Alligator mississippiensis: one gene and its partner. The protein of the gene in region 2 interacts with the protein of the main gene of each other region in a biochemical or structural test. Links are inferred from orthologs where the notes say so. Each region holds a gene or a part of one and is shown on either strand. Other genes may lie near its edges. The genes, in order: TRIM24 and PPARG.

Region 1 (15,610 bases), on a different chromosome or scaffold from region 2:
CACTGCCCTAAACAATCCTAGTAAGCAGACACTTTTAGACATTAATCATCTAAAATATGACACATTAACCACTTACATTAATGTTGCTCAAAGTTACCAAATGACAACTTCAGCGTAACTCCTATAACAGTGATTCCCAATCAATGCTAGGTACTTTAAATATTTGTAAATGTTAGTCTGAACATTCCTCAACCACTTATACTCTACAAACTATGCTGGACATGCAAGCTAAAAACTTGTTAAATTGTAGTGTAGACAAGTTGACTGAAAAAGACTAGGTCTAGATCTCACTTGCATCTGAAGCAGGCATTAATGAAATGTTATTATATATTATTATATTACTTAAGATAAAATTTTAATATGCATTTCCAATTACATGGCTCTTCCCTACACAGTTCCATTACCTAGACAATTATTTATTTTAAAAATCTACTCAGTATCCAAATTGGCATGAACAGAATGTTAAATAACCAAGAATATTTCAGATACACAAGATGTAAATGGATTTGCAGTTCTTTTGCAAAGTATGCATCTTCTGTCGATTACATGCCTGAGCTTCACATTTAAAGGCCCACAAAAGTAACTCAATGCTCACACGCACCCTCCACCATGAACATGGCCTTATTTAAGTATAGAGGCTATCACTCAACCAGACATTGGGGCACCACCCAGTATGCACATCTGCTCAAACAAAAAGGTGCAATCGTCATCTTACACTTACTGATTCAACCTAATACACTCAGGAAACCAATTTTGAAAAAAAAATAAAATTAAAAGATTTAAGTTGCCCCAGCTACACAGGAGCAATATTGGCAGGTGAGGTATTAGAACAATAGGGCCAACCCTTCTGGCAGGCCTACAACAAAAGCCTGGCATCCTCCCCCAGTGCCACACTGATCATCTGCCCAATCTGCTGTTCTGCTTTCTGCTCCCAGGCAGTGGCTGCCTGTGCTATATGTGGCAACCATGAACATCGGATGGCCACCTCTGTATGGCAGTACCTGGTCGCAGGCCCAGTCTGTTTTAGAAGTGCCAAAGCTACTCTTCAGATGTCAAGAGACCTATTCTTGCAACATTACAATAATGCATGCTACTCAGTATCATATCACATGATAACTGGCTGCCATGCAAAAGCCAGCCTGCTAACAAGCTTCCAGTAATTTTAAAAGAAGAATTCTCTAGTTAAACTGATCTCATCATCCTAGGAGTGACATTTCTATCCCACACTATATATAAATGTTTGCACCCTGGAGCCATTCTTCTGACACCTTAAACTTGAAGACCAGATATCATAGACTCAACTATTGTTTCTGATATGAAGTCCATTGAAAGCTTTTATTCACTGAGTGTTTAAATTAATATATATATATTTTAAATCCTAATATGTTGTTAAGCTCAATGACTCCTTGTTTTACACAGCATGCCACCAGTTAAGTTTCACGCATTAGGCATCTTTGGAGCCCCAGATAAGATTTTTGTTTAAATAAATAAATCAATCCCATATACACTTCTCCACAACATGGACAGAAGGCCCAGTTAAGATTGGTTGGATAACTTAAGTATGTGTTCCCATATCTTAAACTACTCAGGTGTTTTTAAATTTAACCTTAAAACAAGAATTATTTTAGTTTGCACCAAGTTCATTTGTCACTCATGTTGTTCCAAAACCCTTGTACTTGTTTTCATCCTTCAGTTACTGATACATCTCTCCAGAAATTCTTTTTCTTTTTAATTTAAAAATGCTATAGGGGAAAGCTGAAGAACTCCTCCAAGGAGAAAGTTTTACCATATCTTTATCCAGCTGACGATACATGATGTCATGTGTGCATGCACATGCGTGCTTTAATTTTAAGGTCACAATTAGCTTAAAGCAACTGGAGCATATTATATGCCCATCAGGTTCACAGTTGCCTTGCATCATTTGGGAAGTACAAAGCAATTCAAGCATACTGGTGAATCTGGGCCTTCAGTTCATTAGTGCAGCAGTAAGCAACCTTTTAGGCTGCAGGCAACTGAGTCAGAGGGAGGCAGGTGGCTCGGCAAATGCTAGGATCCAGCCATGGCTGCTACTGCCACTGCTGCTGAACAGCATAAGGAGGGTACCAGATGCTGGCTTTTCCCTGCAGCAGCATGGAGAAAACAACTGCTGCTGAAGCCCCCTGCTGCTAAGTGCCACCAGAGCTCCATATCTACAGGCTGGGGTATAGATTGCCAGCCCCTGTACTAGTGTACACCATGGAGCTTTCAGGAAAAGTGACAATGAAGCCACCCCTATGGCAGATTACCAACAATTAAACTCTTGAGAGACATCTAGCTCTCCCCTACCACCACTCATTTCAGCCAAAAGAAATGGAGCACATAAACAGCTGAGAGAAAACTGAACCTACCATCCTCTCATGTCACAATAGAGCCGCTCATGAACGACCTGAGATAGTGTTACAAATACCAGGAAGAGACAGCATATTCTTCATACATACAGTACCATCCCCTCTATCATTAAGAGAAAAAAGAGGGGAGTACCTAATTTCCATTTCTGTATTATTATTTTATGTACCTTTTATCATTTGTCCCTGGCATGCATGTAACTACTTCTCTGAACAATACTAAGCCTTCCTCCTTCATTCATATTAGTCTTTCCACTTTCTTTGTCAGGAACAGACCCCTTTCTTTTTGTCATTCTTTGACGCTTGGAAATTGAGCCATTTGCTTATACTGCTCATGAGAATCATCAAATAATGTTTATAATGGGGCCTGAACCTGCTGTCCTGTTTATAAGGCTACTTGTACTTCTGCTCCCTTTCTGGTCTCCAAGTGAATCCCCTTCACGTGTCAGGCTCTGTGCCTTTACTTTCCCCAGGTTTGAACTGACCAGTTCCCCACTCCTGGATTGGGCTAAGCCACAATTTGCTGTGTATCAATCAAGCTAATGCAGTAGGTCTGACTAGGTCTAGTTCTTCTCTTTGGGAACCTGTTCCTCATAAATTATACTGTGATCAAACAATTTTAAAATTAAGTTAATATATTGTTAAGCCATCAGGAGAATGCAGCTAGAGAAGAAAGGTTTTAAGACCATCTACATCAGGGGTGGGCAACTTTTTGGGGGTGGCAGGCTGGCCAACACCCTCCTCACCCACCCCACAACAGCCCAGAGCCCACTCAACCTTGGGCTCCTCCCTGCCACCAGCACCCAGCAGCAGCTGAACGCACAGCCCCAGTTCATCCCACACCCTCTCTAGACTCACCCCAGCAGGAGTGGACAAGCTCTGGACCAGCCGGGACCTATGTGCACAGCCCTGACCCCAGTCTGCTCTGCACCTGCTCCGAACTGCCTGCGCCCAATGAGCAGTGGTGGCAACGGCAGTGGCCAGGCAGAAGCTACTGTTGGGTGCAGGGCAAAAACAGCTGCTGCCCCCTCACTACTGCCAGTCCCTTCTTGCTGCAGCCACCTGGAGCCTGTGCACAGGCTGTTCTGCAGCTCCTGTCCACTGCAGTCCCCACTACCACAGTGCCACCTCCCAGCCGAGGAGCAGTGGCAGTGAAAAGGAGCCACAAGGCATTCCAGGTGCAAGCTCCAGGGAGGCAGCAGCAAAAAGGGCCCAGCAGTGGTTAGGGGGAGGCAGCTGCTTTTCTGCCCAGCTGCTGCAACTGCCGCTCATCATGGGCAAGCAGTCTGGAGCAGGCCAGGACTCCAGCTGAGCCAAGTCCAGAGTGGGTGCAAGGCGGGCCAAGGCTGGGGCTGTGTGTGCAGGTTCTTGCCAGTCTCCATGGGGCTGGGGCCAAAGGTGGCAGCAGTCGGAAGGAGCCACTGCCCCTTGGGCTGCCTAGAAGTGGAGTCCAGCCGCAGAGCTACCCCAGTCCCACTGCATACCTGGGACCAGCGGGACATGCCACAGGCCAGACAGCACATGGGCCAGGTGGGACTGAGGGACATGCTGTGGGTTGGACAAAGTTCTTCTGCAAGCTGTGTTCCTTTTTAAATTACTATAATGTTTTGGTGTTCCTAGGTTATGAACTTTTCCCTAGACAAAATGCATTTTACAGGTTAAGATGACAGCAAATTCTTCAAGTTCAGCAGTTCTGATATTGCCTTTCATGTCCCTCTCTCCAGGTCCCTTCATCCCAATATCCAGGTCAATATACAGCATTCATAAACTGCTAGAGAGTAGCTCCAGTTCCATCACACCTACCTATTAAAGATATCTATTTCATTCATTTCCATCACCACGTTTCTGGTTTTTTTTCAGAATGAACTTTTGTATTACAGAATAGAATAAACAGGCATTTACATCTACTAAGAAAGAGATTAAGGGAAAATTGGTTCAAGTAATTTTTATCATCCAATACACTACTGACAGTACTAAAGTTCTACTACAACATGCCTATTGCCTAGAAATGTATTACAGCTATGTCAAACACAAACTAGATCTCCATGATGAAAAGCACATTTGCTTAAGGACGACTTCAAGAGGTTCTTTATTTAATTCAAAATCAAAAAGGTTTAGCTAAATGCCTCATCTAAATTTAACCAGACTGATAGCATGTGGACACTACAAGTATGGACAGATGTAAAACTGAGAACACTCTAATTACCCTGTAAAACGCAAGAGTCTAGACATGCATGCCACATTAGACCAGTTAAAATTTCCTGGAACATTTCAAAAGCACACTGGGAAAATTATGTACTAATCTGATTCTCCTTGAACCAGTTTAGTGTTATGTGTGGACATAGAGCATTCTGTGCCTAGTGTCTGGTCAGTCCTCTGGACATCCCAAACTGCACCACTCCTCACACCCCACAAACCATACTAGGGCTCCTCTGGGATGCAACTATGACTCTACTGCCTACAGAAACAACAGTTCACAGGGCAGGGAAGCAAAAAGCCTCTGTATCAGTTTCAGTTCCATGCTACGGACCCTGGGCAGGGATCTCTGCCTTATCTGGGATGGTGCGGGGTGGAGGGGTAGCCAGGTTCTGGAGGGAGAAAGTAGAGGGCTTTATGGTTTGTGGCAAGCAAGGGGTGGTTGGGCTGTAACAGTAAAACACCTGTTAATTGCTGGGGGGAGGTGGTGGGGAAAGACCTCTATTGCCCAATGGGTATTTAACAGAACAGAATGGCTACCAATTCCACACTCAATGAGAAGTGAATTAGCCCATCAACTGTTAACTGTTCCACCGCCTCTGCCTGCACTCATGTACCCAGCCCTGCTTTCCAGGTTCCCCCTGCACACACAGCTCTATGCAACTGCTGGCAATGCAAGGTACTTGCAGCTTTCTAAGGAAAGTCCTTTTAATCCTAGTGTGAGGGGAGACTATGGGAAGTCTCAAAGCAACCAACTCTTTGGAATGACACGGAGGCCCTCCACCCTTTATCTTCCCCGACACAGACACACGGACATATGCCTGGTCACCCCCTGTCTGGGTACTACCACAGAGTCCCATACTGTGCAAGCAAGCCCAGGCAGGCTGGGCAGGTGAAGCAGGCAGGGGTTGCCTGAAGGCTGGTGCCCTTGCAGACTGCCCAACACAGAAACATCACTGAACTTGGAACTTCTAAGCCACTTGCTCCCCCCCACCAACTAACAGGTGCCTCGTGCTGCCCTCCATCTTTTTTTCCTCCCTCGCAGAAGCCCTTTCCTTCCTCATCTATGCCAAAAAGTGAAACCAATCTGTGAAGTTTGACAAATAAAAAAAGAAACAAAACACAAAACCCGGAGGGGCAATAAAAGAGCCATTACAGCACAGTTTGATTCAACTCTCACAGCTTACCTTTGCTTTCTGCCCTGCAACTACAGGTCAGCACGAAGTCCGCTGCATGTTTCACCCACGCCCCTATTGGGGAGGGCATGATCTGCCCAGCCCTGTAACACCACGCCCTGCTCCTTACCAGGAGCTCCTGCTGCAACCACCCTGGGCCATCTTCACACCCTGAACCAAAAGGGGGGTTGGGAGGACGACAACTCTCCGAACATATATATGCGTCTCGGCCTCTTGAAGGCTCAGATCAAGTGTTGTATGTGCATTGCATCCCTCAGCCCACTGCCTGCTTTGTCACACACCTGCATCCAGGGTAAGGACAAACCTGGTGGAAGCAGAGCAGGAGCTGTGCCTTTGAAGCGTAGGGTTAAAACAAGCTTGCCCTGTTAAGACCCACAGGCTGCCGGCAGAGGCAGGAGAACCTCGGGGCAGCAGGGGGAGGGGCGGGAGGCTCAGAGGCCGGCCGCCCCTGTGGGGGGAGGGGAAGGGGGAGGCTGCCCGCCTGCAACCACGAGACGCCCCTGGGGGGAGGGTGTCCCGGTGCCCTCCACGCCTGTCGCGACAGCACGTGGCGCGGCCCCGACGGCGACGCGCGAGCGGCACTTACCGGTCGTGCAGTGCAGTGGCGAGGCGGCGGGCGGCGGGTCGCGGGGGGCGGCGGGCGCGGGGGGCGGCAGCATGAGGTAGCGCTCGGGCAGCGGCAAGCAGCGCAGGCAGAGCGAGTGCAGGCAAGGCAGCAGCTTGGGCCGCCGGCTCTGGATGGGCTGCCCGCACACGCCGCAAGTGTCCAACAGGTTGAGCGGCGCCGCCTCGCCGCTGCGCTCCGCCGGGCCCTGCCGGCTCTCGGCCTCGTTCTCCCCGCTCAGCGCCGCCCGCTCCCCCCCCGCCGCCGCCGCCGCCCAGCTCGGGCCCCCCGCCGCCGCCGCCACCGCTGCTGCCTCCATTGTCCGGCACCAGCCGCCGCGTCGCACGAGCCGCCGCTGCCCCGCCCCCGCCGCGCGCCGCCGCCACCGCAGGGTTTGTTGTCCTAGCCCGGGAGGCGGCTGCACCCGCTCAACATGGCCAACGGCCGCCCGCGCCCCGCCCCTCCGCCCGCTTCAGCCAACCCGCCGCCGCGCCCCGCCCCCTCCGCCCGCTTCAGCCAACCCGCCGCCGCGCCCCGCCCCCTCTGCCGCCCCGCCCCCCACGCCAGGGTCTCGGCCCCGCCGGCTCGCCTCTCCCCGGCCCAGCCCCCCTCTGCCGGAGTCAGCCCCGCCCTCGCTGCTCCGCCCCGCCGCTCGCTCGCTCGCCATTCCGGCGTGGCCACGCCCCCTTCGCTCAGTAGCCACGCCCCTTTTGGCCTAAGGCAACACGGTCCCGCGGCTCCTTCTTGCGCGCCGCTTCTCTCAGCTGGCGTGTGATACCCCCAGCTCAGGAGCTAGGAGGGGGCGGCGGGATCAGTGTGTGCCAGACTGATCACAACTCCATGAAGTTGCTTGCCCATCAACTCCGCAGGCATATATAGACATATAAACACACACACATATGTGCATACATAAATACACATATATACACACATGTACACACACATACATACACACACACACACACACATCCTATCTTGTAAGCGAGGCTCTGACACCCTGCTACCCGCTTTTCGTGTCCTTCTCGAGCTGCCCTCAACACATACCCGAGGTCAACCTGGAACCCCCAGTACCCCTGTCAGCCCAGACACATGGCTAGCCCCAGTGCAGAAGCTGTAAACGACACAGGACTAGTAGTGTCTTCACAACAGTGGCTTACACAGGCCTCTCCTTGGTTTGGATTCCTCAGGTCCAGGATTGATACTACTGGAGCATAATCTATAACTGATACTAATAGTGTCACACAATACAAAGGCAAATTTGTATTTTTTTAATACAATTTAGGAGGTCAGATCTGATTCCCTGTCTGGCTTTAACAACACAAGGACCAGCACTCTCCTCCTCCCCTTCTCTTCCTCCTCCTCCTCCTCATCTCTCCTGATTAATATTAATGAGAACAATGTTACCCAGCCCATCTGCCTTCTTTTCTCCAGTCCTGCCACCTCCTCCCAGCTTTGCCCAGAGGCAACAACAGAAGGGTGGAGCCTTTAGCTTCAGTTATTAATATGCATATGGCTAGCCAGGCTCACCCTCTCCTCCCCACCCCCATCCCCTGTTAGCTTCCCTTTATAGGAAGGGTGGGATTATACTCAGACTATCCAGGACAGGAAGAAAAAGCTTTAAGGAGGCACTGGGAATAGCCCTTACAAAATAACTACCCGCTGAGCATAGAACTGGAATCCAGTGAGGAGAAAAACCCGTTAAGGAGGAATTGCAACAATGAGAGAGAGAAGCAACCAATTCATGCTGTGTAGTCTCTTAAAAAAATGTTTGCAATTTATTTTCACATGGACCTAGTGCAGAAGAGGTAGAACATACCAAGACTACTGTGACTTCCTCAAATGTGTATATATCTTACTTGGCCTACAAAGGGGATATTCATCCTGCTTCCTCAAATACCAACATTATGAAAACAAAACCTTCACAGAAATTAATAAAAACATCTTTACATAAAGCAAGTACCAATATATGAAACAAGAATATTATTCCATAGGACAATAAACTAAAAAACCCCACTATCTTACCAAAGTGTTTCACAAGCAATTGGTGCATTAAGAGAAATAACCAACGTTCAGGTTGCAGACTGGGGCAGCAACCATAGGAAACAGGTCAGATCAATTGTTGTGTCCACTAAATATGCAGCACAATTGCACTTTTATGAGTTGGGATACTGAGTAAGAAAATGTTACTCTTCTGTTACTGAACTTCATTTATTTATTGACTGATTGACTGATTTATTTGGTTTAATTAGATTTATAAGCTACCCTTCCCCAAAAAAGGGGAGGTGGGAAGGGGAAAAGTTCCAAAGCTGATTTTTCTGTCAGTAGATATCTTCATGGCTCTTCTGTTCTTTTGCTTCATAATTTCTTCAAACGGTTGCTTCCTTATTTGTAAGAAGTAGCAGGACCAAAAGAAGGCAATCTGGGATCCTAAGAAAACCATGACAAGGGTTCTCCATATTACTATCTCCATGCTGCAGTCCCAATCCTCTTCAGATAGCAGTGGCAGAGGTCACCCATGTCAGAGGTGGCTGCTGGACTTGTAAGGATTTTCTTTTTACTCCCTTTTGGGCAAGCTGAGATTCCCTTGTTACAGGAGCATCAAACTTACCCGGCCCCACAGACCAGATGAGTTTGGTGGGACTAGTCTGCAGACTGGATCAGACCCACAGACCAGCCCCACATTCTGATCTTGTTCCAACCTCTGTGGGGCTGTGCCATAGGTGACTGGTAGGGGGTGCACAGGGGTGCCCATGCCCACCCCCAGTGGGGCCGGTGCCCCCCCTGACAGCCAACACTGATGCTATTCGTAGAGCTGGTGCTCCCCGACAGGGCCACTGCCATCAATGGCTTCTGCGGGTGCCCCCCCAGACTCAGAAGGCACCAGTCACTCATGGGCTGTGCTGCACCATTCTGGAGCCATTATCATGTGTAACATGGCTCCAGAGCTATACAAGGCTGCTCTGGGGTTGTGCTGCCCTTGGTGGCCACTCTATGGGTATCATCCAGGGCCATCCAGTGTACCCTGCACACTGCTTGTGAGTCACTCCAAGACTGGGGCAAAACTGGGTTCCAAATGATGCACCTCTATGAGCTGGATATGGTCTGCAGGCTGGATCTCAGCGTGAGGATGCTGAGGGTTTTTGGCTGATGTGATTGCAGAGCCACAGGGCCTTTATCTTTGAAAACTCACTGTGATCAGGGGAGGCCCTGGTCTATTGGAAAAGGGCAAATCTAGTGCCCATCTTTAAGAAGGGGAAGAAGGAGGATCCAGGGAACTACAGACCAGACTGCCTCACCTCAGTCCCCAGAAAAATCATGGAGTAGGTCCTCAAGGAATCCATTTCTAAGCACTTGAAGAAGAAAAAAGTAATCAGGAACAGTCAGTATGGATTAACCAAGGGCAAGTCATGCCTGACCAACCTCATTGCCTTCTTTGATGAGATGACTGGCTTTGTGGTTGCAGGGAAAGCAGTCAACGTGATATACTTTGACTTTAACAAGGCTTTTGATACCATCTCCCACAGCATTCTTGCATGCAAGCTGAGGAAGTATGGGTGGATGAATGGCCTGCAAGGTGGAGAGAAAGCTGGCTGGATCACCAGGCTCAATAGGTAGTGATCAATGGCTCAACGTCTAGTTGGCAGCCATTATCAAGTGGATTGCCCTAGGGATTGGTCCTGGGGCTGGTTTTACTCATTATCTTCATTAACTGTCTGGAAGATGGGATGGATTGCACCTCAGCAAGTTTGCGGATGACACCAAGCTGGGAGGAGCAGTAGATCTGCTGGGGAGTAGGGCTAGGATTCAGAGAGACACACTGGAGGCTTGAGCCAAAAGAAATCTTGTGAGGTTCAACAAGGACAAGTGCAAAGTCCTGCACTTAGGACAGAACAATCCCAGGCCACAAAGTCTAATGCGAGAGGCAAGAATTTTTGTGGGTGATATTTTTTATTGCACCAACTGTGTGGTGGAATAGACATAGGCAAGCTTTTGGGTATCAGAGTACCCTTCCTCAGGCCCCTGGGATAGAAGCAGACACAGCAGAGTTAAGTAGCTGATGTAACAGAGCTTGTGTAAAACTCCGTATGTAAACAACAACAAGATATAAGAGAAATCAGGTTGCCAACAAGCAGGAGAGAAGCAGTAAAAACCTGATAAAGGAGAAACAAGAGTGTTCAAAAGAGTCCAAGGAAAACTACCCAACACTCTTACAAGATGGGCTTGGGAACAGAAATTAATTAGCTTTTGGAAACTAAGTATCAGGGACCTATCATAGACAATGGTTTAATGGCCCATTATAATGTACCTGATGCTCACTAACTTCTGTACTTCTTAAATGATAACTACCCTTCTGAAAACCGTTGTTCCTCCTTTATCAGGTTTTTACTGTGCTGTGGTATCGGAAAGCTTCCCTATGTCTATTCCAACCATGAGTTGGTCCAATAAAAGGTATTATGCACAAGAATTTTTGCGCCTCACATATTTCCTGGACATCACAGCAACAACATCGCCTCAACACTACCAACACTAAGTCTAATGGCATGAATGACAAAATGTAAATAGAATCTAGACCACCAAATATTAATGCAATGTCATGCTTAGTGCTTTCTCACCTCAGGAATCGTAATGCGTTTACTTGAGTGCCTGGATCAGTCAGACCTGCCATTCACTTTTCCTCCTGCTACACACAGGTCACATCTACACAAGACACTGACTGCTCAGTAGTTCATTACTACTGCACAGTAGCATCGCATGGCACAAAGCATGGCATGACATGACACTACTACGCAGTACTAATGAGCTCCTGCACAATCAGCATTACCTAAAACCCGTTTGGCAATGCTACTGTGCAGTAACTCCAGTTACTGCACTGTCATTTAGTACTTGTGTATGCAAGTTTTAAATGACTGCAATTACAACTGTACAATCAGTGTCTTGTGTAGATGCAGCCACAGGTTGCAGGCAGAAGTGCAGTTCCCTGCTGTAACATTTTGTAGGATGTGCTCTGAGTTATAATGATTCCTGGGACCAAACAGAAGTTCACTGTTGGTTCCAGGGGGGAAGAGACTCTGGCTGCTGGCTGGAAGACTGCAGCTGGTTTCCTCTAGCAATGGCCCCTCCTCTCTCCCAGCCTATTCCTGTTTCAGAATGGGAGGGGGGGAAAGGGAGCAGAGAGAGCTCATTCCAGGGGTTCCCCAGCTAGCGCTGGAAAGTGGAGTGGGTGAATTGGAGCCCCTGTCACCTCAGGGGGGCTCCAATACACCTGCCCCATCCTCCAGTGGGGACTGAAAAAACCCCAAACCGAACTCTCTCTGCTTCCTTTCTCCCCCTCCCATTCTGAAAACAGTGAGAGGCTGGGAGACTGAACAGACACAAGTTACAAAAGATGCTCTGTTTTTCAACGTCTTCATCTGACCCCTCATGCAATGAGGGTTCAGATTTTTCACCCAGTCAGCCATTTTTGAAACTGTCTGCAGCTGTGCATTTATGTTTGGTCATGGCTATAGACCACTTTCTGTGGACAGATCAAGTGAAAATTGTCATCTGTGCTCACAGGGATAGTGTTGTCAGGGCCACTAGAACAGCAGGTTTGGAGCTGAAACCTAATTGAAATATATGGTACAGTTTCCTTAGAGCCAATATTTTAGAATGCCTGCAGACTCAGGCAAATATGACTGTATCACTCAAATATGCTATTTTCACATATTCAATTTTTTCTCCAGAACCATGAGAGAGAAACTTAGGATATCCCTGTTCAACACAATATAGTGCCTTGTTGAGATACACAAGCAAGCTGTAAATGAGATAACTTGGATACCATGCATTATCAGCATAGTCATATTAGCCTGGCACTCAGTCCAAACTAATTAGCTCTGCTGAGCAGTGGCGTATATTAGCTCAGGTGGAGCAACATGTTCCTGGGACTTTGCTATTTCTAGTATCTGATATCACTAGGCGTCTCTATATGGCACTACAGTGTGCTGTGTTGACATGCTTTCATTTTCATTCAGTGAAAGATCAGATCAGATCATTGCAGGGGGTCCAAGAGGTAGAGCCTCTTCTTGGCCCTATAGTACTCATGCCTAAATGTGGCACTGACTGAGACATGTTTTTGTTCTGTTTTATTCTATGATATAAGTACTAAAATACAGCTGCCCACTTCTCCATCACCGAGTATTCTTTTAGGCCTGAGGATTTGTAAAGAGAATAACACAGTTCTAAAACGTTTCTTGAAATGTAGCAGACAGTAAGTCCATTATTGATGGGGTTTTCAGATGCCTTCTTCGGAGCCTATCTACAGTGGACAGTTTAACAGGTTGTACCTGTATGGCTATACCACTACAGTTAAATTGATAGAAACCCCTTTGCAGAAACTTTTATTTTAAAATAAAAGTTCCTCTTTGGTTTACCTTAAAGCATAGGTGGGGAAAATACAGCCCGTGGGCCAGATCCAGCCCAACAACTGATTGTATCCAGCCCATGGGCAGGCAGCTACCAACTCATGGGATCCAGCCCATGAGGGACCAGCAGCTCCAGCTGCTGAGTCATGCCAGGGACATCCCAGCCACTTCTACAGCTTACACCAATTCCTGCCATGTGTGCCAGAAGCAGTGCCAGGTGGGCACCGGCATCAGCTATGGACGTGGCTGGTAGGTTCCGGGTGGGGATCAGGGCATCCATCCGGGTCCACAGAAGACACTGCTGCATCAGCGCATCAGCTGTAGTCCCAGGCAGTTGCCCTGATACCTACTGGGAACTTGCTTGCAGCGTCCACAGCTGGTGCTGGTGCCGGTGCCACTCAGTGCTACTTCTGGCATGCAGACCAGGAGTTGGTGTAAGCTGCGAAAGGGGCTGGGATGTTGTGGATTGGGGCATGCTGTAGCTGTGGGGACAGTTCAGGCTGGGAGTGGGGGGAGGAGAGAAAGAGAGAGAGAGAGATTGGGGCATGCTCTGACTGTGGGGACTGTTCGGGCTGGGGCCCAGAGTAGAGTCGTGACCTTGCTCCCTGTGTGCAGGGTGGTGAGAGTATGGGGCTGGGGCCCTGCAATCCCAGCCTGGCCCCACCTGCCCACCCATCCCGCTCTTGGATGCCACTCCCCCAGATCCCAGCCCCAGCCCCATCCTGGCTAAGCATGAAGCAAAATCATGATCCGTTGCAGGCAAGGGCATGCGGGGAGCGGATTGTGGCTCTGCCCTGGGTCTTGGCCCCACACCATCACTGCTCCACGATCCCAGGGTCTCCATGGAGACTGGATGGGACCTGCCCAAACAGGGTGCTGGGTCAAGCAGCCAGGATGGGGCCACTTAGGGTGTTTTGGTGAGCTGCTGCACAGGGGTTGATGCTGACCCAGCCTGTGACACTTCACCAAAACTCCCTATATGGCCTGTGGCCCCAAATAATTGGCTACCTCAGGCTTAGAGCTTTTCCAAAGGGCATAAATTGACCTGGGAAGTTACACTGGCATAACTGAATTTACACTCTACCAGCATCACTTTTCTTTGTAGGCAAGTCATTAGAGAAACCACTTCCTCATTTTAGGAATTCTGCTAAAATCACCGCATCTTAATCTTCTTTCTTCGGAAAAGATTCATATAGAATAGAACAGAACAGAACCATATAATATAGTGTAGATATTAACAATATAACTGACAAGAACTGAAGTCCACTGAGTCTCTTGACCCTACTCAGTTTAATTTTAGCCCTGGCTATGACATGAATACTCTTTGTTTTATGTATCAGTGATCTCCTTTGATTTCCTTATGATGAAAAAAGATTGGGTACATGCTTATTTTTTCTTTCTTTTTTTTTCTTTTGATCCATCTGATGCCTTTGATATTATTGACTACAAAGAATCATTGACACCTCCAGGCCCTAGTAGAGGGAAATGGAACTGCTTCTGCGTGGCACCATTCTTTAATCTCTTAGAAGACTCAGAAGTTAGGACTGAAAGATGGGTCATGTGTCCTAAGGCCATTCTCATGGAGCATGTCACAAGGTTCTAGTTTGTCAATCTTTCATTGTATCGACATGTATAGGATACTATAAAACAAGGATTAGAATGGAAGGCAGTAGAGCATAGCTCCTTTTTTGGTGAAGGAGAATTTCCCTTTCACTCAGTAACTTGGAGCAGCGATACACCCCCTTCTCATTGGCTGGCATGGTAAATTTTTTCTCTGATCCTATTTCAGTGCACTTAACTAGTATTGTTAATATGCAAATGACAAGGCAGTTCTTTGTCTCTCCTAAGTCAGAACTGGATTTGTCAGTTTTTCTAATATCTAGCTGAGAATGAGACAAACTAATAGAGATGGCTAAAGATGATGGCCCCAAGAGAGGACACAGAAAATATGGAGTTTATACCAACTGGCAGCAAGAAACAAGAAGTCATGATATTAGATCCCTCAATTCCAGAAACTGTTTTGCCATTTGTTACTCCTGTTCACTATTTATGTATATTATTTAATTATTAGCTGCTTCTGGATTTCCAGATGACAGTGAATACTAGGAGCAGCTTTCTTCTATCTGCACCTGGCCTTTTATTTTGGATTAAGGCATCATCATGGTAATCCATGTCTTCTCCTGTCTTCAGGTTGGATTACTGCAATGTACTCTACATGGGGGCACAATTCAAAATTTTCAGCTACTGTGGAATATGTCTACTTTTCCAGTAGTGATTATCACTGAAAGTACTCATTGACAGTACATGACTAAAAGCTGCCAAACCTCCAGAATTTGTTTGGAGGTTCCGTCTTTCTGCTTACCTCATTTGTTTCCTCCTCCCTTGAATTTCTACATTTTTGGCAGTCACCCAGAGGACTTTGTTTTATAAAACAAACACACACTCAAACACTTTTCCTCTCAGCTACCACTAGTGTACATTCTATATCTCTGCCAAATATGAGGCAGATACATGACTGTGAGATGCCTCTTTCTTACCCTGGACAGTCTAAGGGCTGTTCTAAGCCATGCAGCTAACCACTGGACACATCTACATGTGCAAATAATGCAGTGTGGAGTAATTTACTCTAAAGTAAACCCACCCCAGGCAGGTGTCTACACATGCGGATATTTGAGAGGAAATTTGCTGCTCCTTGCAGCAGTCTGCTCCTACCCCAACTGGCCCTGCACTGGCCACCACCACCAGGAGGAGCTGGAGGCACCAACCACAGCTGCTTGTGGCCAGTGGCCATATTTAAAAGCCAGCCCCATGCACTGCTGCCAGGCCACC
Region 2 (15,224 bases):
AAAACTGGAATTGGGCACTAATCTTCCTTTAACTCAAATCTACCTTTTAAAGTAGTAATGGGATAAAACTGATTAGATAACCTTTTCTTGTAATTGACCAAACTGAAAATAAATCTAGCATAAATAATAAAATGAAAATTATTAAATTATTATTTATAATTAATTATATTAATTATTAAATTAATTTTAATTATAGAACGTGTCTGTAATAGATAGAAAAACATTTTAAACAAATTGCATTAAATTTAACAGTAATCTCTCAGATTCTTTTTTTAATGAGTGATTTTTCACTTGGTAATAGTAGCAAGTTCTCATGACAGAGAGGACACTCATGTGACCACCTACCTTACAGCCTTCACATGCATGTACACCATAATGAAACCCAGAAGCCTTGTCTCCACACACTCTGCATTCTATAATCATAAGGGAATTAGAAGATTCTTCATGAGGTTTATTGTACAACTGGACTTTTTCTGAAAAATAAGGTGGAGAAGGAGGCTCCATTTTGATTGCACCTGTGTATGAAAAAATAGTACCTGGTCAAAAAGTACAATAAGATGTCAAGAAGTAACAATAAATAGATTCATTATAACTAGCAACCATAGTATAAATAAGGCCAGATTCTTAACCCTGTTTAATAAATATTAAAAATAATGAGTTGTAAACAAAAGGTGTAAAGTACTATAAGCTACATGCAGCCATATAAGCAGGCTATAAATGAGGCTGAACAATTCTGAAGATGGTAGGCTCTGGAGTAGAAAGAGGATCATAGATTCAGAATTCAAATCTGTAGTGTACTCTCTCACTGTTCAAAGGCCTTGTAGTATTCATTGCAAATGCAGGGCTGAAGTCCCTAATGTGGTCTAAAAACACAATTACATGAAAGAACCAGTCAGTTTGATATTTTGGATCATTAAAGAGGTTAATGGTTCTAAAGCTGCTTAAGCTCTTAAAAATATGTCTTTCTACTGGAAAATGTGGTTCAGTCTCAGTGGGTGCATCTACACATGCTGTTAAGGCAACACAATACACTTAGGCACAGTTTCTGCCAGAGTTAACTGCTCCTGGGCACAGGGTCTACAAGTGTGCCTGGGACCACAGCAATTACAGCTGGGGCAGAGCAGTTCTGAGCTGGCAGGGGCATGGGGGGTCAGCCCCAGGCTCTGGGTGGTGGCGTCAGGTGGTGGAGGGGCTGTCAGGGTCCAGAGGTCTGGCAGGGGCCAGAGGTCTCCATTAAAAGACAGTACTATCCCCAACAGTACTATCTTACAGAAGAATTAATCTACTGCACCCTAATACCAGTGTATGCAGGGCTGGTACAAACATTAGGTGAACTAGGTAGTCGCCTAGGGCACCAAAGTTTGGGGAGGGGGTGTCAAAAGTATATGCAGAACAAAATAACAGGAACATCATTGTAAATAACAGCCCTGGCACCACCTTGGTCTAAGAACTTTGGTTCGGTAAGGGGAGAAAGACCTCTGAAAAGATCTCAGAGGAAAGCTCACTAGAATCGCGACTCCTACCTTTTCAACTCTCAAGTGGACTTATGACAAGAGCATACCACTGGCAGTGTCATCCTAAAAAATGAACCCCTACTCCTATATCATCTTACAGCTCATTAAACTAATTTCTTACACCATTTTTCTCCCTTCTAACCACTCCTTTTAAAATCTAAAGCATCTTAGATTTCATCAGATGCATTTAAGATTTCATCAAGAGTAAGATGACCAAAATACACCAACTCCGGGTACAGATATGAATTGTGCCTGTAATTCAGGAAACAGGCTTCAAGGTAGGAATTTCTTGGTTTGATTTTGTAGATCTCAATGTAGTTCTTGACGTAGTTATCGTAGGTACACCTGAGTGGTCATGTTTAATATTCTCAATTTTATAATGTCTAGAAATGGTCAGAGTATGATTGCTGAATCATTACATTTAATTCTTGTAAGAATGCATGTGATTTTTTAAAGTAAGTTGAACTAGGGATAAGGATTTATGTACAAATTATGTTTGGATACTTATGTGAGAGATACGTAGGCATTTAGAATATGTGTGTTAAGGCAGAATGAGTGCTAATTAATTGCTAGCAAGCTCAAGAGATATTTTTTAATTAGTTCATTATATAATGCCTGTATCATTGTTGTGTAAGGAAACAGTTGTATGACTGTGTGTACAGAACATGTAAGGTTGGTTGACCCAGAAATCATAGGATATGTGAGATAAATAAACATAACTACTCAATGGATAATGACAATTTACTTTATAGAAGACCATGCTAAGGAAACAGGAAAACATCTGCTTGACCACGCAGTCTTGACCAACATTAGATAACCAGTTGCCATGTTTACACCCTTAGTCGTACATCCTAACAAATACCTTCCTGATTGCAGGGGCAGTTTGCCCATTAAGGCACTTTAGGCAGTGCCTAGCCATATTTCTTTCATGATAATTTAATCAATTGTCCACATTATTAATGTCATCACAGCCAGAATTTTCTTTGAAATTGTTCTTAGATTCATGAATGACACGTGCCCCTGGCGGCGGCAGGAGCATGGCGGAGGGAGCACTGACTGCCTGTAGACACCACCAGCGGTGTCAGCAGTGGGGGGAGGGGGGTCACTGGCCACAGGCACCGCTGACAATGTCGGCAGCGCCTTTTTGTAGGGGGTGCACCGCTACGCTCACGGCATTGCCCCTATGCATTGCTCCTGCTTAGATTGATTGTTCTCTATATTGATAATTTATTTGAAACAGTTTAAAACCGTGTCAGGGGAATGGTACCATGGCAGATAGAAAAAACCCGTCTGGAGCTTAGTATCATAAACGAAAAGCTGAACAGGAAAAAGAATAAGCAAAGCAAAAGGGTTCCATCCTGAAATACCTTCCATTTCAACCACATCAAGATGGAAGCAGTTCACAACATCAAGGTGAAGGAAGCTCACATCAAGACAAAGGCAGCTCACAGCATCAAACTGACACTGAAATCGAGAAAATTTATTCACCTACAAACACACATGCTGAAGTTGAGGTAGATAAAGATAATAAGGGAGCAGAAGGTACATATATGAAAGATGAAGAAGGTGCAAACAAGTTACAGTACGGTGACCCTGCTACATGGCCTAGATGTGATGACCCTGTGCGACAAATAGTGGTGGAACATGGACCACCTGAACAAGTTCAGGAATTTCACTTCCCTAAATATGGAAATAAAAGAAAATTCTCTGTGCATCATTGCAAGAGATTACTTACCAATGGGGAAGAAATGTATTGACAGTGGCTACAATATTCAGTGTCAAAAGACTCAAGTGTTTTGCTTCTGCTGCAAACTGTTTAGCAGTAAAGCAACTGGTGCATCATCACTTACTGAAAACAGTTCGAAGGACTAGAAAAACATATCTGCAATTGTCTCTTCTTATGAAAAAAAGTTGTGAACATTTGGAAAATTTCCCAAACTGGAAAGAACTTGAACTGTGATTGAAAAACCAGAGAACTATTGATGAAGAAAATTTACATGGAATCAAGTGAGAAGAAAAATACTGGCAGTAAATATTGGAGTGACTGATTGCTTTAGTGAGAGTTCCTGGTGGGCAAAACTGGGCATTCTGCAGGACAAATTAAAAATTATATAGTGCTGGTAATGGAAACTTCTTAAAATTTATTGAATACCTGGCTGTGTTTGATCCAGTCATGAAGGAGCATCTGCATAAAATAAGTGACCATGAAACACATGTTCATTAACTTGGAAGAAGGTGTTGCAGGGCACTAAGGTGCCTGCTCCTTTAAGGGCAGAAACTGCCTAGAGAGTGCACCCTAGCAGTCAGGCAGGAACCCCCACAGGTGCAGGATATTGTGGCAGCAGACCTAAGGAGGGAATGATCCTGTACCTGCAGCCAGTCAGCTGATCAGAAGAGGCAGGGCCCCAGGGCTGGGACTAGAGGGTCAGTTCCCTGCCAGCAGCCAAAGGGGAAGGAGCCTCCCGGGAGGAACTGCCCAGGGATGCTGCAGCTGCCAGACATGCTGCACTTAGGGCTAATGGGGCTCCAGGAACTCACCAGGTACCCTTGCCTACAAGGCACTTAGTGCCAGGGAGGAAGTTTGACTCTTTTAAAAGGGCAGAGCACACCCTGAACTTTTTGTGTTATGTTATAGCCCAGGGGCTCATATTTTTGGTTGATGTTTCTATAAACACCGGTGGATCAGGCTGAGGCTATTGGGGAAGGAGGAGCCTCACTGGGGGCCCACTACAGTGTGGGGACCCCAGTGACAGGGAGGCACAGAGATGTAGGGGGTGAGCAGACCCCAGCGGCAGGGGCATAGAGATGAAGGGGGTGAATAGACCCCAGCGCCAGGGGGTGTGCAGACAGGGCTGTGGAGAGCCCAGCACCAGGGGGCATGGAGAGAGACAAGTGGTGAATACCATCTGCAAGGCTTGGGGCATGGTAAAAGGGAGGTTTTGGAGCCATGCATCTAGCCCATAAGGCTGAAGGTGCCCCAAGGCAACCATTTTTGTGCAAGACTCAAAAAGGGTCCAAGAACCCATAGGGTTCAGCGGGGTCCATCAGGACCGTGCCCAATGTAAACTCGAGGGCAGCCTCCCTATTCAAGATAATTACCAACAAGATGTGGCAGGTGAGAAAGAGGGTGTCCAATGGGTAGGACTGGCAAGGTCAAGGAGCCCTAGGGGTATCACGGCCGTCCCTGGGGACCCTGTACCATGACAGAAGGCCACAGAATGAACTGATTCAACTCCTAGCAAATGCTGTTAAAGAGAAAATCGTAGAAGCTGCCCATTCTGCAAAATACTTTTTAATAATTCAGGACTGTACACAAGATGTGAGTCATATTGAGCAGATGACAATGATCATTCATTTTGTAGATGTGGCAAAATCTACAGATGTGGATAATGCTTACATCTCAACATGTACTGAAGTTTATTTCTGAATATAAACTGATAGTTTTCCCAACATCTTCATTGCTCTCTGCATTCTTTTGACTCCTAGTTTCTGTTTGCTAGTGAGGAGCGTAGGTTCTCAAAGTTAAAATTGATAAAGACATACCTTCGTTCTTCTATGCTGCAAGAGAGACTTGTTGGACTGGCCACCGTGTTGATAGAACATGAAATAGCTGGAAAACTTTGTCTTAAAGAACTTGTTTCTGAATTTACAAAACTGAAAGCATGAACAGCAAAGTTCTCATTTCTTACACAAATGTTCGTGAAGATTTTCTTTTAATTGTACACATTATAATAGATTCTATTAGATTTTTTGCAGTATAATTGCTAGGGTTAATGAAAAGTGTGAAATAATCAATACTGTTTTTGTTTTTATTGTTTTACTGTTCATTTTGAATATCAAATAAGTACATGTAAAAGTTCATTCTAGACTTCTTATTTTCCTCTATATTGGAAGTGGTGGGGGCACCAAGGTAAACAGTTTGCCTAAGGTGCCAGTTACCCTTGGACCGGCCCTAAGTGTGAGTGTGGATGGTGTCACTTTACTGTGGAGCTAATTTGTCAACTCCACAGTAAAGCACACATGTAGATGCACCCAGTGGCAGCTTACTGTTACCATCTTTCTCTTATGAAAGTTGTTCACTGAAGCATCCCAGTAAACACAAACAAATATGGTAAATCTTCAACGATCTACAGTGTTGACCATAAAAGAAAGCATTGATCTTTCTACCCATGATCACTAATCATACGAATAGGACAGGTGCTCTCCAAACCAGCAAAGTTAAGGACAGAATTTAGCAGTTGACAGACAATAAATTATAGCAAAAAATCAAAAATATGCATTTAATAATTAATTATGAACATGGATATTTAACAGGAGGACAATGGTTTTTAATCAGTCTTTAAATACCTTTTTATAACACTTGCAGTTCACCTTCTTTGCAACAACTGGATGTCAAGATAAAAATCGTTCTGATATTTTAGAATGTTAGAAAAGACCAAATCCCAAAGTCTTCACAGTCATGTTAATGGAAAGTTGCCTCATTGAGGGCATCAAGATTTTATATTCTATTTGTTTCTATGCTGGGTTATTAGAGCCTCATGGGTATTTCCTACCAAAGAAATGGTTATATATAAAAATGTTTTTTCACCTATTGGGTTAAATAGTGGTTCAGTGGAACTGCACAGCTTCTCTTTGTATCTTCCCTATAATAAATGGCTAAAGAACTGAATCCCAAATAGAGGCTTAACAATGCAGCTACTTGCCCATGGCAGCTGTGACGTAAGAGAGCAGCAGCAACTTCCAGATGCCTCTTGCCACTGGTGTGATCACGACGCTGCAGAAGCCCCGGTTCCCCTGCCCTAGCTATGTTTCTGCCCACAAACAAAAATAATATCAGGTCAAAGAATCTTCTAGCTGATCTTGCAACAGAAGGTCAATAATCTGATCTTCAGCAGGAGTAGGGTGACCAAGCCTGACTGGGAAAGGTTCAATTGAGGTGTTACTGACAACTCAGAAGCTAGGGGCTTCTTTGCTATCCTCTAGCAATACCAAAGGTAAACTGTACAATTCTAAGGGCTTCCCTACATTAGAAAAATCAATATTGTCATATTAATACAAACTTCCCTAATACAGACAAGATTTAGGCCACGATTTCATTAAACAGCTTAGGATGCAAAAGAGATTCTCACTTTTAGGTAACATGCTATGGAAATGCTAGCCCTCTTATCAGATGAAAGCAGGCCTGTGCGAAGTGGCTAGTATTCGCTTCAGATTTGGCTGATTCAGGGGACAGTGATTCAATTTGGTGATTCAAATCACTGTCCTGATTTGATTCAGCCAAATCTGATTCAGAGATTTGGCTGCTGCTGAATCTCCAAATCAGCCAGGCCCATCCCCCCCAGCTGGGCAATCGCTGCCCTGCCCACCCCAGCTCCTGGCACTTGTTAAAAAAAAAAGCCCCGACTCAGTGGGTGTTGCCGGGCAGGTGGTGATCCCTGCTGCCCCCCACTGCCCCATGCTGCATGGCGGGCTCTGCCATGAGCCCCCCAACCCCCCCTGTCTGAGCCCCAGCCCTTCCCATGGCTGCCCTGTCCACCGTGATGGCCCTTTAAGAACTCCCCCCCAAACCCCCCCCCGACACACCATTCCTGCTGGTGGGAGCGATCCACATGAGACCCTAGAAGCCCCAAGGCTGCTGCAGGAGCTGGTGAGTCTTGGGGTTTTTCTTGTTTTTTTTTTTCTTAAACGGCCAGCGCTGACCCAGGCAGGGCAGCCGTGGGGAGCCTGGGGGAGTGAGGGGGGGGGGGTCGGGGGGCTCATGCAGAGACCTCCATGCAGAGTGGGGCAGTGGGGGGCAGCCAGGATTGATTCCCCGCTCAGCAGCACCCAATGAGCACTGGGGCTTTTTAAAAAAATGCCAGGAGCTGGGGTAGATGGGGCACCCGTGGGAGGGCTGGGGGAGCAGGCAGGGGATACGGGCTGGCAGGGGTCCCCCATGGTCCCCTCCCCCATCACCCTCCCACTTACCAGAATGGAGTCTGGGTCCAGCTCCCTGCTACAGCCACCAGGGACTGTCCGAAGAATCAAAGCTCTCCGAATCTTTTCCGAAGATTCAGAGAGCTTTGAATCAATTCAGACCTTTTAATTGCTCCCCTGATTTGATTTGTATTCAGAGATTCGGCCACCAAATCGGGCCAAATCTCCTCCAAATTTAATCACTACCCGAAGCTTTGCACAGCCCTAGATGAAAGATATTTGATTTGGTTATTTTTTAAATAAAGCTTCAAGAACATTTTTGTCTAAAGATGTGACCCTTATTCCAAAGGGTCTGAAACAAAGCTCTTTTGTTGAGGGCATGCTTCTTAAAGCACTATGCAATTCAAATAGGTATATTCTGAGATGTAAAAAGAAATTACTTACTTTGACACTCCTGAAGCTTGATGTCATATTTGTAATCAAGGACTGTCTGGTCAGTTCTTGCAAGAGGAATATCTTCATAATGTGGTGAAGAAATGCTAGAAAAATCAACGGTTGTAAATGGCTTTATATCGAAGGAATGGGAGTGATCATCCATTGCAGAGAGATCCACTGAGTTAATTCCAAAATTAATCGGCCAAAATGGCATTTCTGTGTCAACCATTGTAATTCCTACCAAAAAAAAAGGAGAAAAACAGACAGACATTTAAAGAGTTGGCTTTTTCTTTGTGCAATGGGGCTTGAAAGCTTCATATGACAAAGTGATTTTGGGAATAAATGACAAAAATATACACAGGAAGCATGATATACTGAGAATTTAAACTATCATATTAACTTGCACACCTTTCCCCAGAACTGGAATACATTGTTGTAAGCTGGGAAGCTAATTTTTTTCTGCCCAAAAAAGAAGCAGGAAGATGCTGTAAAGTGGCTTCTGCTTCTTTTCCTTCTTTTCCCTCCAGCAGCCCCATTTAGGGAGGGGCGGAGTCCAGCAGGGGCAGATCCAGAAGGGGGTGGAGTGGTGCAATCACAACCCATTTTCATTCCTGCTCAACCCAAATTTAAAGACAAATGTACAGGACAGCAGCAGCATTTCTATTCAGGACTGGCTGAGGGAGTCAATTGATTTCATGTCTCATCATAATCTAACTGATTCCTGCTAACTGCTCTCACTTCACAGGTGTTAACACCCCTGTCTCTTTTGTTAATGGTCTTAATTAGGCCTGTGTGAATAGGCAGCTATATGATTCAGCTTCGGATCCGGCTGCTTCAGATGCCAGGGATCCAATCCAGAGCTCCGGATTGGGTTCCCGCTTCGATTCGGCAGAAATGGCTCTGAAGCTTCAGAGCTGCTTTGGAGATCCGGCCATAGGGTGTAATGGGGAATCAATGAAATATCTATAACTTTGTTGTTTTTGTCTGATCTGGATGAAACTTGCAGAGATGGTAGCCTATGCTGAGAGCATGAAGCCTACCAAGTTTCAATAAGATAGGTGTAGGGGTTTGGGGAAAACTGCACCCCAAATTCTTGAAAGTAAAACTCATGTCACTTGTACGTGTTACACCACAGGGGGGTAAAAACTGCAGGGGTGGTGTCCCCTGCTGAGGCCATGAAGCCTGCCAAGTTTCAAGGAGATAGGTGCATGGGCTTGGGGGGAAGTGCACCTCAAGCTGCTGACAGGCAAAACTCATGACAGATGAACCTGTGTGTGTTAAGGTGCAGCGGGCTGAGAACTGCAGGGATGGTGGCCCTTGCTGAAGCCACAAATCCTGCCAGCTGTCAAGGAGATAGGTGCAGGGACTTCTGGGTTCTAAAGCCCTGCGCCTTTAGCTGCTGATGGGCAAAGCTCGTGACAGATGTGGCAGGATCTGGGCACGGTTGCCCATGAACAACTGCCCTGTCCTGTCTACCAACCTGTGTTCCAAGCAAGAGGGTGTTCAGTATTGCTGGTGATGTAGTGACACACCATCGCACCTCCTTGGATCCTGGCTTAGTGGAGCAGCTGGTGTTCCTCAAGGTGAACCTCCCGCTGCTGGGGTTTCCCAAGCTCTACCTGCAGATGGAGTGAGTGCCACCCTCTTCACTCTGTCCACATCCTTTTCCTTTTTTCATTTTTTAAAAAACATTTAATGCCCCGCTCTCAGAGCTGGAAGCAGCACTCACTGCATCACCAGTGAGTAGGGGAAGAACATGTTCCTGCTGAGCTCCCATGCCAGGACAAACGTGGAAGTATGGGCTGGTGCTTTGGGGAAGGAGGAGGCCCCAGGTCCTGGGCATGACCAGTAAAGCTGCACTCTGCCAGGGTTGGGAGGCATGGTGGGACTGTTGGTGGTGCGGCAGCCTCAGGAAATGACAGGACCAAGGATCTCCCTGGTGAAAGATGGGTAGGAGGCACCATAACCTCCAGCCACCACACACACGCACACAGTCCTGGCTGGTGAAAGCCCAGACCCATCATTTCTTTGACAGGCCTGAGACTTGCTGGTTGCAGTGGAGTTCTGAGGCTCCAGGTGAGTTTAGCTTAGCTGCCTGGGATACCAGCTTTCAGGTATCCTTCATTAGGCTGAGGAAGCACCTGCAGTTGGTGTGTGTGCTGTTCCTGGATGGAAGGAATAGCAAAGAAGCAAGAGGCTGGCATGCAATGCAAGCAAGAAAGCCAGTCAGTGAAAATGGTAATGGAGGCATCAGGGGGTGAGGGATTGCTTGGGATGTTGGGGGAAGAGGGACGAACCACTTTTCACAGATGAGCCTATGAACTGCACTTCATCAATCTCCTAGGTACAGAAACTCATGGACTCAATATAGACAGTGGAATTCTGCCACACTACAACCTGCCAGACATCTGACTCCCCAGGTACCTCTCCACTTCTACCTGCTATATCCTCTGCCCCCATTCCCCACCCCGCAAGGTTTCAACCCGAAACCTTGCTAAGATATATTTCTCTAATTATTCAGTTGGTCTACTAAAAGATACCAGATTGACCCAAAGAACCTTGTCTGCCAGTGCCATGTCTTTAGACCAACACCCCTAGCATCTGTCCCCGGTCAGCTGCGCGGAAGGAGGCAGGGCCCTGGGCACATCTAAGCCCCAGGGCTGGGGCTGGCAGGGAGCATTCTCTGGCAGATGCTGGAGAAGAAGCTGCTGCAGAAGAGGAAAAAAATGCTCTGTGACAGTTTGGCTGCCTGAGATGCTGCTGGTGCTACTGTATCTGCTTACTAAGTTATTATTATGTGGTGTTATTTAAAGTGGTGGACTGGAATGAGGCTGTAGGGAAGGAGGAGTCTTAATTGGGGCACTCTACCACGTCATGTAGAGGCCCTAGCACCAGTCAGGGCACGCCTTAACACACAGCAGCTTGAGGTGCAGTTTCCCAGAAACGCCTGCACCTATCTCCTTGAAACCTGGCAGGCTTCATGGACTCAGAAGGAGCTACCTTGCCTTCTATTTTCACCGTACTGTGCCTTAACTCACATACGTGACACAAGTTTTGCTTGTTAGCAGCTTGAGGTGCAGTTTCCCAGAAACCCATGCACCTATCTCCTTGAAGCTTGGCAGGCTTTGTGGCCTCTACAGGGGCTAGCATTCCTGCTGTTTTAATTTGAATCAGGCAAGAAATGACAGTTATAGGCAGTTTCGTTATCCCCCATTATAGTCTATGGGCAAGACATCGAAAAAGCATCAAAATAGCAAAAGTTTCAATGAAACAGAACGGAGCAGTGCTTCAAAACGAGACATCGATACAAAACACTGTCCTGTCAAAATGGTGAAACATAAGTTGAAATGAAACAGCACTGTTTCGCACAGCCCTGGTCACCCTATTCATAGATGGTTATTCTTTTTTTGGACAGTGGTTCTAGATATGGATGTATCACAGCAGAAATTGCGGACTTTTTACAAGCAAGTACTCACATGATTCTAGGATCTACTTCTCATTTCTAAACTTCAGGTGAGAGGGAAGATCTAACTGATTAGGAAAGAAGAGCCCACTAAATTGAAATTGTTCTAGGATGAAGTACTAGGCAGCTCCTTAGCAAGCCCTTCATCTCCCTGTTCCCACAAATTCTCAACAGTTGGACCCCAACCTACTCTTAGCAGAAGCAAGATCTGATTAATGGTAATTCCTGGCTAACTTAAACAAGCCAAAATGACCTTGTGAATTTATATTATTGGTTGTCAAACTTTCAGACTTGTTTTAGATTTCATTAAAAATATATTATTTCCACAAATTCCAAATATCCCTGTATATCCATAGTAGAATTGTCTCTCTTTTTAATTAATCAGATTTCCAAATAAAAGCATTAAAAAGTATAAATGAAAAAATTATCAGTAGCTTGTTTAACTAGTTGAACCTTCTCCTTAGGAGTCCATTCTGAAACATCATAGCAATCATTTGCTTAAATACATCCTTGTTTAGTTCAGTGAAGTATTTGACACTGTAAGCAGTGCTGTTAATGAGACTTAACCCCATGATTATGAATGTCAGAAATTTCCAGCACTGGAAATCTGTTTAGGTGAGAGAACAGTATAGGCGTTCAGCGCACAGCTAGTCTCTCTTCCCTGCTCCATGTGCCGTCCCCAGACCAGCATGACCCTGGTCTGGAGAAACCATGGGCAGCACTGTCTGCTCTATTCCTCCCATTCCCAGATGGGGAAGGGGTGGGGTGGGGTGGGGTGGGGAGAAACAGAGTAGCAGGGAAAGACATTTTCTGTCATTCTACTCCTCTCACATAGACTGAACTGGGAAGGGAGTGGAGCAGCAAGGCAATGCCCTTTTCCCATTCCCCAGACTGGGGTGGCTGCAGTCTGAAGAAGGAATGAAGACAGTGGGACAATGTGCCCTGCCCATTCCCAAACCCTGGTATCCCAGTGTGGCATCAGCATCAAGATTAGGTTGGCATTGGGACTGGTGCCCTGGTCTGCAAATGGGCTGTCAGGTGAGTGGGTAAAGTGCAAGGTTCCCAGTCTGGGAAACTGAGGTTCCCACCAGGAACCTTACAACCCCAGCAGCCAGCAGACTTTTTCACTTTGTCCTACAGCACCTTGGGGGCCACGAGGCAAGGAACTTTTAAATGCCATGTCAGGGAAGCTCTGGAGCTCCCCATGACCTGTGTGCCTGTTAGCCCTGCATATATACAAATGCTGCACAGGGGGGAATTTTCTCCATGTGGCACTTGCACAGCCACATGCTTGCTGTCCCATATCAGACTGGGAGGGGAGTGGAGCAGCAGAGCAATGCCCCCCATGTGTTCTCAACACTGAAGTCCCTGGTCTCAGGATGGCTCAGAGGGGTAGCAACAGCTTACCTCCTCTATGATCAGAAGTGAGTTGTGCATAAGTGTCTCCCAAGCTTGAAGAGTGGGGCCTCCCCAGAGTGGAGGCTCGTGCTTCACAGAGGAGTCTAGCAGAAGCATACAGGCCTTCAGTCTTGTGAGAGAAACTTGCACATGGAAAATCTTTCAGGTCTTAACTAAGATCCCTCTCCTACAGAGGTCATGTTTCCTTCTGGAGAAACTGAATGAACACTTGTATGCTCCTAGTTTCTACCAAAAGAGTAGTGAATTCTTCAGTAAAAAGGTGTCACTTGTATGTGGCCCATGTCTACAGTTACAGCACATGCATAAAGTTAAATATAAATTTAAGGTGTTTGTTTAACAGTGATTGATCATGTGTTTAATGTTAAGGATACCCTTTGCAGAATTCAGGTATATGAAAGTAGAACTGCCATTAAACTCAACCACAGTGATGCACTGAGGTTAGTCTTCAAAGGAAGCATCAAAATAAGAACTCCAAAATATCTATACATTATTGATAATCCATGCATTATATTCACATCATTTTAAGGGGTCAACGAGTTATACTTTCTAACTAATATGCTTCAGTTTGCAAACTGCTATGAGGTAATCAAATTAGCTCAAAGGCTCATTAAGCTATATTTTATGCTATAGCACAGTACCTAGGTGTGATGACTAGGGAATCTATCTATGCATAATTCATGAAATTACTGAATCATTGAATGTATGTTGAATGCACCATTTATTGTCAGAGCTGTGTTAGGTCAAGAACAGGGACACTGGAGGGTTGTTAAACTGATGGCTTTCATTCTGGTGAGGGCACCTCAGAACAATGGGATGGTCAAAGCTTTTAAAACCAGTTTTATCCAACTTCTTGGAAGGGGGCTGGGTTTTGAAAGAGTGGAAAGTCCCCAAACAAGAGAATAAGAAGGAGGACAGGTGCTTCCTGAGTCCTAAAAATGACAAACCTGAAAGACTTAGGAGGAAACTCAGATGAAAAGAGATAAGGGAAGTTTAGCAGTTTCAAAGCTCATGGGTCCTTTAAATCACAGGACCAGCTAAGGAAGCAGGTAACTGACTGCCTGATTCAGAAAAGACTGCATGTGGTGGTATGTAGAAAGGAGGTGGAGCAGGCCTTGGACTCTAGCAAGCAAAGTGGTGAAGAAACTGCAGCAGGGAAATGCATACTTGTGTTCTTTTGTTTTTTTCTAGATCTGTTTCTTGTGCTATTTAAAGAGAGACTGGCTATAGAACCTCTTGCACTATCTGTGTGCTTGCACTGTCACGTGTTCCTGTGAAGCCCCAATATAGCAGCCTGAGGAACATTTAACTATAGGACCATTAGCAGGGATGTGATTATAAGCATCTCCTTAATTTAGGACAAGAAGAAAAAGATCCAGTTTTATAATAAGACCTGGATCAAATAAGATCACATCTACTAAAACAGACTGTCTTCTGTGTTAGATAGAAATTAATCAAAACTGTCATCATAAGCAGCTCTAGCATTATGGCATGAAATAGGCTTTCCTTTAAAAAAACCCAAATGTGTGATGTGTACATATACACTGAACCTGGAGAAACTGCATTTTTGCTTTAGTTGATTGTTGTATACTATTTCTTACACATAAAAAAATGAGTATGAATTACAGGCATTCTTATTCATGACCATCAATGCCAATCTACTACTATGTTGTAGACAAACACATGATTATCCAATGACTGGCTTTAATGCAATCTTCTCCAAGGGGTAAGGCTGACTTCTCCTACCTCTCCAAGGAGGGGTCCAAACAAGGGTACTTTTAGTTTATTAGGATTTCCTTGGCCATGGAAAACTCCCTTTGGCTTCAGAAGGAGTTACATACATGTAGCAGCAGTAGGGTCACACTTCCATAACCCTGGAACACCAACATTTAGAACAAAAAATGAGAAATGTTTCTGTCAAAAAAACGGAAATATTACTAACTGTTGCAGAGCACTTAGGTGCCCTGCTCCTTTAAAGAGTAGAAACTGCTAGGGAAAGAGCGCTAGCAGTGAGTGGGGAGCCCCAGCTGCTGGTTACCAGGGCAACCAGAGTACGCTAGTGGCCCACACCTGCCAGTGGTCAGCTGACTGGAAGGGGCAGGGCCTGGCTCACACACAAACCCCAGGGTTGAGGTCAGGACGGCAGTTCCCTGCCAGCAGTCAAGGGGGAAGGAGCTCTCCCAGAGGAGCCAAAGCGGAGAGGCCTGACTGCAGGTACAGCCTCTGATACTGGTGAGGGACAGAGCACCCCTGGTGTGGCTTGAAAGATGTTATAGCCAGGCAGCTTGAATTTATGTTATAGCCCAGGGGCTTGTGTTTTGTTTGCTGTTTAAGACTGGTGGCTTGGGTGAAGCTATTAGGGGAGGGAGGAGGCCTCATGGGGACCCATGGAAGTGTGGGGACCCCAGCACCAGAGAGGGCGCAGCATTAGGGGTTCAGTGAAGGCGCGGAGCGAGACAGGGCCGCGGAGAGCCCGGGCG

The links.
Region 1: the proteins of PPARG (region 2) and TRIM24 interact in a test that uses a peptide from one of them, tested with the Homo sapiens proteins (2 studies listed by BioGRID). The link is inferred for Alligator mississippiensis from reciprocal best matches to the Homo sapiens genes PPARG and TRIM24.

The regions. Positions count from the first base shown.
Region 1 is NC_081827.1:109,068,215-109,083,824, forward strand, and holds the start of TRIM24 (transcription intermediary factor 1-alpha), read right to left. Parts: upstream 6,807-15,610; 5' UTR 6,700-6,806; coding exon 6,363-6,699; intron 1-6,362. UniProt on the Homo sapiens protein: Transcriptional coactivator that interacts with numerous nuclear receptors and coactivators and modulates the transcription of target genes.
Region 2 is NC_081835.1:30,987,337-31,002,560, forward strand, and holds the start of PPARG (peroxisome proliferator-activated receptor gamma), read right to left. Parts: upstream 8,098-15,224; 5' UTR 8,095-8,097; coding exon 7,875-8,094; intron 516-7,874; coding exon 346-515; intron 1-345. UniProt on the Homo sapiens protein: Nuclear receptor that binds peroxisome proliferators such as hypolipidemic drugs and fatty acids.